3 linked regions of the Elephas maximus indicus genome follow. The protein of the gene in region 2 purifies or fractionates together with the protein of the main gene of each other region. This does not show direct contact. Links are inferred from orthologs where the notes say so. Each region holds a gene or a part of one and is shown on either strand. Other genes may lie near its edges.

Region 1 (3,746 bases), on a different chromosome or scaffold from region 2:
GGCATACCCCAGCTCTCAACCTGGCCCAGGGCGCTTCCAGCAGACACAGCCACTGCCACCTGCCCACCCCCGGACTGCACACCCAGCTCATCCCAGGGTATCTGTGAGGTCAGCTCTCACCATATTTCCAGTTCTGGTCCAAGCCTGTACCTTGCTCCTTTGTTTTTGGCAATTTCAATACCTACATGCACAGAGGAAGAAAGAGGGGCAATTTCAGCACCTACAACATATCCAAAGGTAATCTAACACCCTGTTGTGGTTTGTTGTTGTTAGTGCTACTGACTCCAACTCACGGTGACCCCATGTGTGCAGAGTAGAACTGCTCCATAGAGTCTTCAAGGCTGTGACCTTTTGGGAGATTTCCAGGCCTTTCTTCCGAAGCACCTCTGGGTGGATTTGAACTTTTTTTTTTTATTCTGTTTAGGTGAAAGTTTACAGCACAAATTAGTTTCTCATTTAAAAATTTATACACGAGTTGTTTTGTGACATTGCTCGCGATCCCCACAAGGTGTGAGCACTCCCCCCTCTCTACCCCAGGATCCCTGTGGCCATTCGCCTGTTTTCCTGCCCCTTCCTGCCTTCTCACCTTTGCTTTTGGGCAGGTGCTGGCCATTTGATCTCATATATTTGGTTGAACTAAGAAGGACGTTCCTCCCATGTGTTGTTGTGTGTTTTATAGGCCTGTCTAATCTTTGGCTGAAAGTTGGACTTCGGGAGTGGCTTCAGTTCTGAGTTAGCCAGGCACCTGGGGGCCACAGTCTCGGGGTTTCCTCCAGTCTCTGTCAGAGCAGTAAGTCTGGTCTTTTTTTGTGAATTCGAATTATGTTCTACACTTTTTTCTGCTCTGTCCGGGACTCTCTATTGTGAACCCTGTCAGAGTGGTCAGTGGTGGTGGCTGGGCACCATCTAGTTCTGGGCTCAGGCTGGTGGAGGTTGTGGTTTACGTGGTCCATTAGTCCTTTGGACTAATATTTTCCTTGTGTCTTTGGTTTTCTTCATTCTTCTTTGCTCCAAACATGATGGGATCAATAAATGTATTGTTTTCAAACTCACAGCTTTTAAGGCCCCAGATGCTGCTTACCAAAGTAGGGTACAGAACATTTTGTTTATGGACCATGTTATGCCAATTGACCTAAATATCCCCCGAGACCATGGTCCCCAGCACTAAGCCCCAGTAACTCAGTTCCTCCACCAACCTTTCAGTTAATAATCGAGCACTTAACCATTTGCAACACCCAGGGACTCCTGCTGCAGCAGTCACAATTTTAAAAAATGATAATAATAAAAATGAATGAAATTTAAAAAGCCCCGTGAGCTCCCTGACCCCATGCAGCCAGCCCTCCTCCTGGCAGCCTGGCAGCAAAGGACAGCACCTCCCAGACCAGCTCACACCTGACCAAAATGAGAAACGGGGTCAGGTCTCCGGGCTGACCCTTAGCACCAAAGGAGGAGGAGGAAGGGGAGAAGAGGACACACCCTGGTGGTTTATTAACATGTAGACACTGAACACCTGCAGCAGAATGAGTGCAGAACTCGAAGGTGCTGATTGGGGGTCCCAAGGCTTCCAGCCCAGCAGTGGGACCCCTGCAGGCACTACCGCTTGGTGGATGTGGGCAGCAGCTTCTCTAAGGTGGAGGGCCAAGCTGCCTCAAAATCAGTTCTGGCCACCTGAGCTCGCCTCCCTTCACCCCAACCAGACTTGCTCTGCCTCTGATGAAATGAAAGCAGGTTGATTAAAAAAAAAAAAAAAAGTTCAAGGGAAATGGCTGACAAGACGTTATTGCTCAAATTCTGTTTTACCCGCTCTTGGCCAGCCCTCTGGGAGTAAGCAGCTCTGTACGAGACAACCAGGGTGGCTCACATCTGCAGGTGTGCCAGGGCAGGCTAGCTGAGATACAAGCGTGCAACCTTTCACTCACAAAGTGCAACTGTCACCCCACAAAGCCCACAGAGTTTTTAAGCTCGCAGGCTCACCCCCTTAGTCTGCCTTCCCTGTTTGGGCGGATCTCTCCCAGTGCCCACCCACCAGAAAGGTCCTCGCAGGCCACAGGCTGCCCACTGCAGGTCTCTTCTGCAAACACCCCGGCCAGCAGTTGGCCGCCCCTCCGCTAACACACCCCCGAGTATGGGCAGCTCAGCCCCAGCTGTGCCACCTGGGCTGCACGGATGCTGGAGGACAGGTGCGTGCCCCGCCCCCCAGCTGGCTTCCCTCCCCCACGCTCCTCTCTCTCAAGCCTCACAAACCACGTGTCCCACCACAGGCCTGGCCATTATCCACTCTTATCTGGGGTTGCCCCAGGTGCCTCCGGGGCAAGGAGCTGGGGGGTCGCGGGGAGCGGGGCCGCACACTGGACGTCCGCCCCGCCAGCGCAGCCTCCAGACTCACTCTTTAAAATCCTTTGCAAATTGCCCTCGAAGTCCAGGGCCCACTGGTTGAGCGCACACGTGGCCACGGTCACCTTCCGGCCCATTCTGGCCTCCGTGGCTCGGGAAGGCAGCCCGCGGGCCAACCTGCCGGTCTCTCGGTCCTCCGAGCCTGGGGGCCAGTCCCCCTGAGCCCCGCGTCCGGCCCCGCCCCTCCCAGCCCCGCCCCTCCGGGCAGACCGGCGGAGCTCCGCGTCCGGCCCCGCCCCCTCCTCGCCCCGCCCTTCCGGGCAGGCCCGCGGAGCTCCGCGTCGGGCCCCGCCCCCTCCCGGCCCCGCCCCTCCGGGGAGACACCCTGAGCTCCGCGTCCGGCCCCGCCCCCTCCCGGCCCCGCCCCTCCGGGCAGACACCCTGAACTCCGCGTCCGGCCCCGCCCCCTCCTCGCCTCGCCCCTTCCGGTAGTCCCACGAACTGTAACATCCGGCCCCGCCCCCTCCACGCTCCCTCCGCGCCCCGCCCCTTCCGGTAGTCCTACGAACTGGGGCGTCAGGACCCGCCTCCTCCGCGCCCAGCCCGTCAGGGCCCGCTTCGTCAGGCCGCGCCCCGCCCCCCCCGTGGGTAGCCCCGCCCCGTGAGGTCCGCCTGGCAGGAAGGACCCACAGAACCGCTCCTTGAGACTTCGCTCCGCCCCGCCCCTCCCGGCGAGGCCCCGCCCACGCAGGCCTGTAGAGCCGCAGGTCTGGCCCCGCCCCCGCCCCGCCCCGCCCCACCCGACGAGGCCTGGCGGGGGCGGGACCGCGGAGCCTCCGACTTCAGGCCCCGCCTCGCTCCGCCCCCACCCCCGCCCGCCTGGGGAGGCCCGGTCGCGCCTGCGCAGCAGGCAGGTGCTCCGAGCCGCGGGTCACCGCTCGGGTCCGGCTCTGCCAACCCCTTCGGCCGCTCCGTGGGCGCCGCGCAGCCAGACGCCTGGCCCAGGCTGGTGGGGGGTCGCCAGGTCGGGGGTCCGTCCGCTTTATCCACTCGCTGACACCCCACCCGCCAGTGTAGCCGTGTTCTAATGAGATGTCTCCTGAGATGCTGGGTGCCGTGTGGTTAAGAGCTGGGCTGTCAACGCAGAGATCTGCAGCTGGACTCCGCCAGGGGCCCTTGGCGACCTGCGGGCAGGTCTGCTCTGTCCCGTAGGGTTGCTTGGAGTCGGCCCGCCTGGAGGCACATGAAAGTAAAAACCTTCAAAGAGGGAGCCCCGGCGGTGCCAAGGCTGCTAACCCAAAGATCCACGATTTAAACTCGCCAGCGGCTCTGTGGAAGAAAGGCCTTGAAGTAGTGAACATGTTTTTTCTTTAGTGTTTTAATATTAGGGAGAATATATTTTCTTGTTTGTT
Region 2 (3,746 bases):
GACAGACTATGTACAAGGGCTGGGGACACAGGCCCTGCACTGGCAGCCTTAGTAGTCCTCTACCCAGCCATTCTCGGAGATGAATGCGTCGATGACCTCCTTCATGGCCAGGTTGGGGATGAGCTGTTCCTGGGTCAGTGGGCTCCGCGTCACAGGGTCAAAGTGGCCCACACGCTGCAGGGACAGCAGGGTCAGAGGGTGCTCAGGGGCCTGGGGCTGGGCAGTACCTGTCCCTGCTGGCCGCAGCCTCACCTGCAGGTGCTCCTCAATATCTTTGCGGTCATAGGTGATGCCACTCGGCGTGATGCATGGCTCACGCATCAGCTCGAAGCTAATCTTGCCACACAGGTAGTCAGGGATATCTCGCCTCTGCAGCACACAGGGAGGGATCAGGGGCCATGACAGGGACCCCCACCACAAGCCCCAGGGGACAGATTGGCCTCACCTTTCTCTTCTCGTCCACCTGGGAGAAGATTTCATCCATGTCTGCCAGATATTTGTCCTGCAAAGAAACAAGCAATTAGGCACCATCCCCCTGCCCCACCATGCACGCAGATAGATCCACTTGGGGCTGGGGGTATTCTCACATGCTTGGCCTCAATGCAGGCCTGCTGGGCCCGGACGTGGCCATCGTCCTTGTCACCTTCGTGGTTCCGCTGACAATCTTCCAGCTCCCTGGGGGCCGACCAGGAGCTGGTCAGATAGGTCTAGCCAGGAGAGGTCAGGCCCCACCCAATCTCAGGGCCAATGATCAGGCCTCCCATCTCCTGCTTCTCCAATAAATATTTTTGACTTAACCTAAGACTACGTGACTTAGTGGGGCAGAGTCTGCTTCGGCCACAGCCCACCTCTCCCGCTGTGCCAGGATGAGCCGTGTGAGGTAGGAATGCAGCTCGTTCTCCTGGTGGATGCGCCGCTCCTCAATGCTGTTCCAGCGCTTCTTCTTGGCAATGCGCAGAGCACTGGGGATGTCATCACCAAAGTTGAGCCGCTGCTCCTTGGCCAGGTTGTAGGCTGGGGAATGGGGGCTTTGGGTCACTCGTTGGCAGTCTGAGGCCAAGCCACCCCTGCCCCCCCCCATGCCGCCAGCCCACCTCGCTGCAGATTGGCGATGGCCTCATCATAGCTCTCCATCTCAAGCTGGCACTGCCCCAGGAAGAAATGTGCCTTTACTGACTGCCCGTCCAGCTCCAGAGCACGCCGGCAGTCAGCCAGTGCCTGCTCATGCTGCTGCATCTTCAAGTAGCACAGTGCCCGGTTGGTGTAGTACACAGCTACCAGAGGGTTCCGGGTCTGGGGACCAAGGCCAGACCAGCCAGTGTGAGGGTCTGAGGGCATGAGCTCAGCCTGGGCCCTCTCCCAGGTCATGTTCGAGCTTTGGGGCCCAAGGCTGGAATCAAACTATAAGCTTCTCAGGAGTCCCTGGGTCCCAAGACTTGCTGAGCTGGAGTCCTGGCCCACGTGCCTGGCTCAGAACCCAAACCTCAACTCTAATTGATTTTGCAAAGGTAAGTCCCAGACCTGTGGAGACCCACACTTTGGGTTTGCGGTCCTCGATGCACAAAGATACCTGTACTCAACCAAGCCAACTCAAACAAACCTGAACCGTTCACCCCACCCACCATACTTGTCCAGCAACTGGCGCTGGGTCCACAGCCGTGGCCTTGGCCCCTTAGGAACAAGATTATCACCGAGTCCTCAGCCTGTGACTTCCCTGAGACCGAGCCAAAACCTTCCTACCGAAGGACCGGCGGGGCTGCCGGGTAGGGGCTGGGGGGCGGTTGGACGCGGGGCTGAAAGATGGGGCCCTGCCCCCTCCCAGACCAGGGCGCACTCACGATTGCGCGGCCGTAGCAGGCCGCCGCCTCCGGGTACTTGCGGCCCACGAAGAGCCGGTTGCCCTGCTCCTTGAGCTCTTGCGCGCTGAGGCTCTTCTCCGGGCTTCCACCGCCAGCGCCCAGCCGCGTGCCACCCTCCTTCTCCTCCCTGCCCTTCATAGCGCCGCGCGGCACAGCCTGGGCTTCGCTCCCAGGCTCCGCGCCCGGCCCACCCCGTGCCCGTAGCCGGAGCCCGCGATCCGCTCAGGCCGGGTCCAGTGATCGGCCACCGGAACTTCCGGCTGCGCGAGGCGGAGCCAGCGGATGGGCACGTGAGGTGGGCGGGCCCGCGCGTGCGCCTGCCCGGCTTCGGCGACGGGGCGGGGTTAGCCGGGAGCGCCGGCGTAAAGGCGATGCCCGTGCACCCCCTAGCCTCTCTCCGCCCCCCACTCTTGAGCCCTCCTTCCCGAAGGCCGGGCCCCGCCCCCACATACCCTGCTCCTCTAAGGCCTCTCTACGGAACCGGCTACGGCTGCAGCTGTCTTTGCATTCAGCCTCCCCAGTGAGATACCTTCTTTGGGCCTGCCCCATCCCGTGAACCCCGCCCCCGGACCAGCTGAGGACCCGCCCCCGCCGGTGAAGCCCCGCCCCGGAGTGCGAATATAGCAGCCGCCCGCGGGCTGTGGGGCTGTGAGGACCCGAGTCGCTGGGTCGTCCTGGCGCATCACGGGGAGGTGGTGTGGGCGCACGCGGGCTCCCAGGGCCGGCTGGAGGCCCTGGATCGGTGGTACGGCGGTAGGGAATTTGGCGGAGGGAGAGGGTACTGGTAAAGGCGACAGCTCCCCGTGGCCTGGACCCCGTCGCTGCTCTTCCCCAGGTATCATAAGGAGTTGCTCGTGGCCGGGAGTGGGTGGAGTTCGGGGGAGAAGCACGTGACGCGAGACGAGCTGGAGCGGCTGCTGACGTGGAAGGTTGCGGTGAGGATTCCCCTGTGGGGTTGGTCTCCAGGAGAGGGCGGAGCTTCTTCCTGGGGAGACACTTCTTCGCGAGTCAGAGCTTCCTCGGGCGGAGTTTCATTGGGGCGAGCCCTCGCGGGGCGGGACCTCTTTCTGGGGTCGGGGCTTCCTTTGGCCAAGTCCGCCTCCAACACCCTTGGCCTGGCCACCCCCAGTGGGGCTGATTCCGGCCGCCCCTGCAGCAGCTGGTAGCCGCCAATCCCCCGGAGCTCGTGGTGCGGTGCTCAGCCGCTGCCTTCCGCCTCCTGCCCGATGTGCTGACGGCCGTCACAGAGCTGTGTGCCCGCCGCAGTGTGGGCGCCGCCACAGCCTCAGGTGAGGAAGCACTTGGGTGGGTGTAGTGTTCTCTCTATCCACCCAGCGAAGTTCTCGGGTGGAATGGGAACCCACCTGGCCTGGTCTGTCCTGGAGGCGGTGTTGTCCACTGAGTTGTGGGGCCAGAGTACTACCTTCCGTTTCACTGCCTATAGCAGTCCTGGCAGCTGGAGCTCCTGAGGCAGCAGACTTCATGTCCCATGAGGCGGTGGCCAGGGTGTCTGGCCTGCCTGCCCAGCAGTACATCCTCCAGCACTACCGGCTGTACCTGGGCCAGATGCAGGATCATGCCAAGGCTTTGAGCCAAGGTGAGGGGACATCGGTGGGCAGGAGGGCGTCCAGGGCTCCGGTGGGAGTGTCCAGAGGGCAGGGGTGGCTAGCATTTATGGGCCCAGACTCCCTCTGCTCCTTCCCAGCCAGTGCCTCTGGGCCACGGACCCGGCAGCCCGCGGAGACAGCACTGTGGACCTGGGCCGTGGGGCGGAAGATGTGCCCGGGCCTGCTGCCTGACCTCAGCCCTGGCACAGTCAACATCCATGTCATCAGGCCGGCCAAGAGGCGCAGGACCCAGGCCGATTGACTTGAGCCATGGAGGAAC
Region 3 (3,746 bases), on a different chromosome or scaffold from region 2:
TTTTAACAGAAAACAACACGAATAAGATGTAATCACAAACCATGTAAGATAATATGAGACTAAATTACTGGTACAAAATGTGTTGTAATTGCTAATAAAAGAAAAGTACTATGGCCCAGCAATTTCACTCCTAGATATATACCTAAAAGTCTTGAAAGCAGGGACTCAAACAGATACTTGTACAAGAAGGTTCATTACAGCACTATTCATGATCGCCGAAAGGTGGAAACCACCCAAGTGACCATCAGCAGAGGAATGGATAAACCGAATGTGGTACGCACATACAATGCAATGTTACTCGGCTATAAGAGAAACGAAGTTCAGACATACACTATGACATGGATGAACCCTGAAAACGTTATGCTGAATGAAATAAGTTAGACACAAAAGGAGAAGTGTGAGTCTACTTATATAAGATATAAGGCACGTATTTGGCAAAATAACAGGCAAATGCACAGACACAAAAGTAGATCAGTGGCTATTGGGGTTGGAAGGAGGGGAGAATGGGAAGTCATTGCTTAAGGGATACTGAATTTCTTTTTGGGGTGATGAAAAACTTTTGGAAATAGATAGTGATGACCACGCACAACATGGTGAATGTAATTAATGTCACTGAATTGCACACTTAAAATGATTATAACAGCCATTTTTTGGTTATAATATATATTTTATCACAATAGCTTTTTTTAAAGAAGAAAAGTACTGGGTTCTTCTTTTGGAGGAGATTAAACAGGGAAAATTCAAGGCACTAAAAGTAAGAGATTAGCACAGAAAGAAAACCAATTTGAATCACATAACCGTCCTTACAATATACAGGACTTCTATTGTACTTGCCTCCAGAGAACCTAAAAGGTTTGTTGCATTACACTCTAGAGATATTCTTTTCAAACAGAGAAAACTATCACATTTTGATTCAAGTACTATTATTTCATGGAATAGCTAGGACATTTTGCCCTAATGCAGGCTAAATCAATAACTGAAGAAAGGTAGCAATAATTTTTATGGCTTGCAAAAAAAATAGAATACCATCATTTTACACAGCATCATGAAAATAAAGTCCTATATAAGAGGCTCAGAAAGATAGAAATCAGCAAGATAGAAATATACATTGAGTCAAAGGATTATAATAAACTGAAACAGTATTTCAGGAAATATTTTTTCTTAATTAAAAAAAATGATGCTTTTAAAATTTGTGATTAATATGTTAAAGTTCTAGGCTTTCATAAAGATCAAAAGCTTAAAATAGAAGCGTCCATTTAAACAATTAGGTGACTTAACATTAATGCCTTAGCATTTATAGTGTAAAACATGACTCACACTAGTTAACACAATCTATTTTTACATGAGGCCTATGAGAAGAGAAAAAAAATAAAACAAATAGAAACAAAGAAATAAATATGAAACAATACAAAACATAAGAAGCTGTCCTAAGAAACTCCAGTAGAAGGAGCTGTAGAAATGAAGAACTTAAACTTGGCAATGGCTAAGAAAGAAATGCTGAAAAATGAAGTCGCTGTTTGAATCTTTCATATCCTCGCAGAAGTAATATCTTATTTAGCACACAATAAGCATTTAACCTTTTAGGAAACTCATTTACTTCAAGTGTGAAATGAGGTTCTTAGAACGGATGTTCTTCAAGGTCCCCACAATCTATGCTTTTAAAACAGAGTAGGCACTATGCTAGGTATCCTAAGAAACACAAGAAAGAATATAGCTTGGTCCCTACACTCCGGGTGCTTACAATTCTTCAGCGAGATAAATGTACACACAAATACCTAGATTTCAAAGTAGAACAGAAAAGTACTCAGAGAGGTTTAAGAGGAATAAAAGTGCTGGAAGAGGGATAGAAAGCCCTGTGAGAAATATCTAGCATAAAAGACTAATGGGGGGAAAGTGACTCTTCAAAAATTCCAAAAATTCCTTAAGTATTTTTGGGAAATGTATACAAACTCAGGAAATAAAAACAAATAAGACTGGTTTAGGATATACATGCGCCTTTAATGCCTACAATTCAGGAAGTAAGAACCATGCACAGAAATAATTTTATTAGGTTCCCCCCTCCCAAAGGTTTTGAATATTCTTTATAAGTGAACATTGGGGCAGAAAACTAAGCATTAAAGTACTGAAATATAGACACGATAGTATTAGAATAAATATACTTTGAAAAACAACTTTTCTGTAGTCTGAACCTAGACGAGCAATTTTACCCTTACTTAATGCCAAAAATATCCCAAATAGCCCTTTCTAGAACAGACTTTACCTTGTGAAGTGCTTGCAGACAGTGTATCACTGAAGCAACAGCTCTCAGGGTCAATGAGAGAATCTCCCAGAGTTTCACCCATACCAGCATGGAAAAGAGATTCGCTGTGATTCACAATGATACTTTGTCTATTCCTCGCAAAGAATCAATCCGGTAAACGAAAAAGACTTGCAGTAATAAAACATGAATACACCAGTGAATCAAGACACCAGTTTCCAAATATTTGGGAGAAGTGGGAATAAACACAGAAAGGACCAGGCCTGAATTGGCTGGCACCATCCTGTTAGGGAGCCAGCTGTGACAAAACGTGGTGTCATAATGCTGCTCACTGCTTTGGCAAGACTTGGTACATTACAAGAAAAATATTGCCACACTGTCTCGTCAGTAACCCACATGTTCAGAGTCTTGTGAGAGGTGTGAACTGTACAGTATTTAGAATTATCAGAGCAAGGAGATTGTTCAAGAGCTTCCTAAAATGGAAGACTTTAAATCCCTGGGTTATGAAATACCAGAGAAATTCATTTGGACGAAGTTTTTTTCTAGCTGTCCATTCCTGGTTGAATCTGTAGCCACGTTATCTGAAGTAAACTTTTGAATTCGAATATGCACTCATTTTAAATTTGTTATCAACATATTATAATCCTAAGATATTTATTATGGAAACCCTGGTGGTGTAGTGGTTAGGCGCTACAGTTTTTAACCAAGAGGTTGGCAGTTTGAATCCGCCAGGTCCTCCTTGGAAGCTCAAAGGGGCAGCTCTACTCTGTCCTATAGGGTCGCTGTGAGTTGGAATCGACTCAACGGCAGTGGGTTTCTTTGGTTTTTTTTTAAGATATTTATTCTACTACTTTTACCAGTTGCTGTTAAGTAGATTCTAACTTAACCCCATGCGTGTCAGAGTAGAACTGTGCTCCACAGAGTTCTCAAAGGATGGCCTTTCAGACTTAGAACACTAGGCCTTTCTTCCAAGGTATCTCTGGGTGAACTTGAACCTCCAGCCTTCTGGTTAGAGGTGTGTTTTTTGTTTTTACCTATACATATATAAGTACACACATCTACATGTAACCATGCACATATTTTTTTGGTTGTTACTACTGTTGTTGCAAAATTTTATATGTTGTGGCTTTTTACCAAAATCACCCCTTATTCTTGTGTATTTCTTTGTGTGATCATTTACCTTGGTCAAGTTGTGCTGACTTCATCCTTATTCAGTATTACCTTACCCATCACCAAAACTAACAAGCATCAACTATCTAGAAAGTGATTCTCCCTCTTTTTCCCTCCCATCCCTGGTAACCACCAAAGAATGTTGCTTACTGTATGTGTAACTATTCTTTTCTTTTTATAATAGTGAGATGATACAGTATTTGCCCTTTTGTGATTGGTTTAATTCACTCAGCATAATGTCCTCCAGAGTCATCCATGTTATAATGTATTTTGAGAACTTGTCATTATTCTTTATGGCAGTATAGTATTCCATTGTGTG

Evidence for each region.
Region 1: the proteins of STUB1 (region 2) and NADSYN1 purify together in Homo sapiens (co-immunoprecipitation; 3 studies listed by BioGRID and IntAct, with this or other methods). This does not show direct contact. The link is inferred for Elephas maximus indicus from reciprocal best matches to the Homo sapiens genes STUB1 and NADSYN1.
Region 3: the proteins of STUB1 (region 2) and PPARG purify together in Homo sapiens (affinity purification with western blotting; 3 studies listed by BioGRID). This does not show direct contact. The link is inferred for Elephas maximus indicus from reciprocal best matches to the Homo sapiens genes STUB1 and PPARG.

Annotation. Positions count from the first base shown.
Region 1 is NC_064825.1:134,274,466-134,278,211, reverse strand, and holds the start of NADSYN1 (glutamine-dependent NAD(+) synthetase), read right to left. Parts: upstream 2,567-3,746; 5' UTR 2,472-2,566; coding exon 2,387-2,471; intron 182-2,386; coding exon 121-181; exon of another isoform or gene 1-120. UniProt on the Homo sapiens protein: Catalyzes the final step of the nicotinamide adenine dinucleotide (NAD) de novo synthesis pathway, the ATP-dependent amidation of deamido-NAD using L-glutamine as a nitrogen source.
Region 2 is NC_064830.1:57,894,718-57,898,463, reverse strand, and holds the start of STUB1 (E3 ubiquitin-protein ligase CHIP), read right to left. Parts: upstream 2,132-3,746; 5' UTR 1,998-2,131; coding exon 1,839-1,997; intron 1,294-1,838; coding exon 1,095-1,293; intron 1,015-1,094; coding exon 849-1,014; intron 676-848; coding exon 588-675; intron 503-587; coding exon 446-502; intron 370-445; coding exon 253-369; intron 175-252; coding exon 49-174; 3' UTR 1-48. Other genes in the region: uncharacterized protein LOC126086948, read left to right, coding at 2,231-2,379, 2,695-2,794, 3,016-3,148, 3,304-3,456, 3,544-3,728. UniProt on the Homo sapiens protein: E3 ubiquitin-protein ligase which targets misfolded chaperone substrates towards proteasomal degradation.
Region 3 is NC_064838.1:37,503,195-37,506,940, reverse strand, and holds the start of PPARG (peroxisome proliferator-activated receptor gamma), read right to left. Parts: upstream 2,858-3,746; 5' UTR 2,343-2,857; coding exon 2,261-2,342; intron 1-2,260. UniProt on the Homo sapiens protein: Nuclear receptor that binds peroxisome proliferators such as hypolipidemic drugs and fatty acids.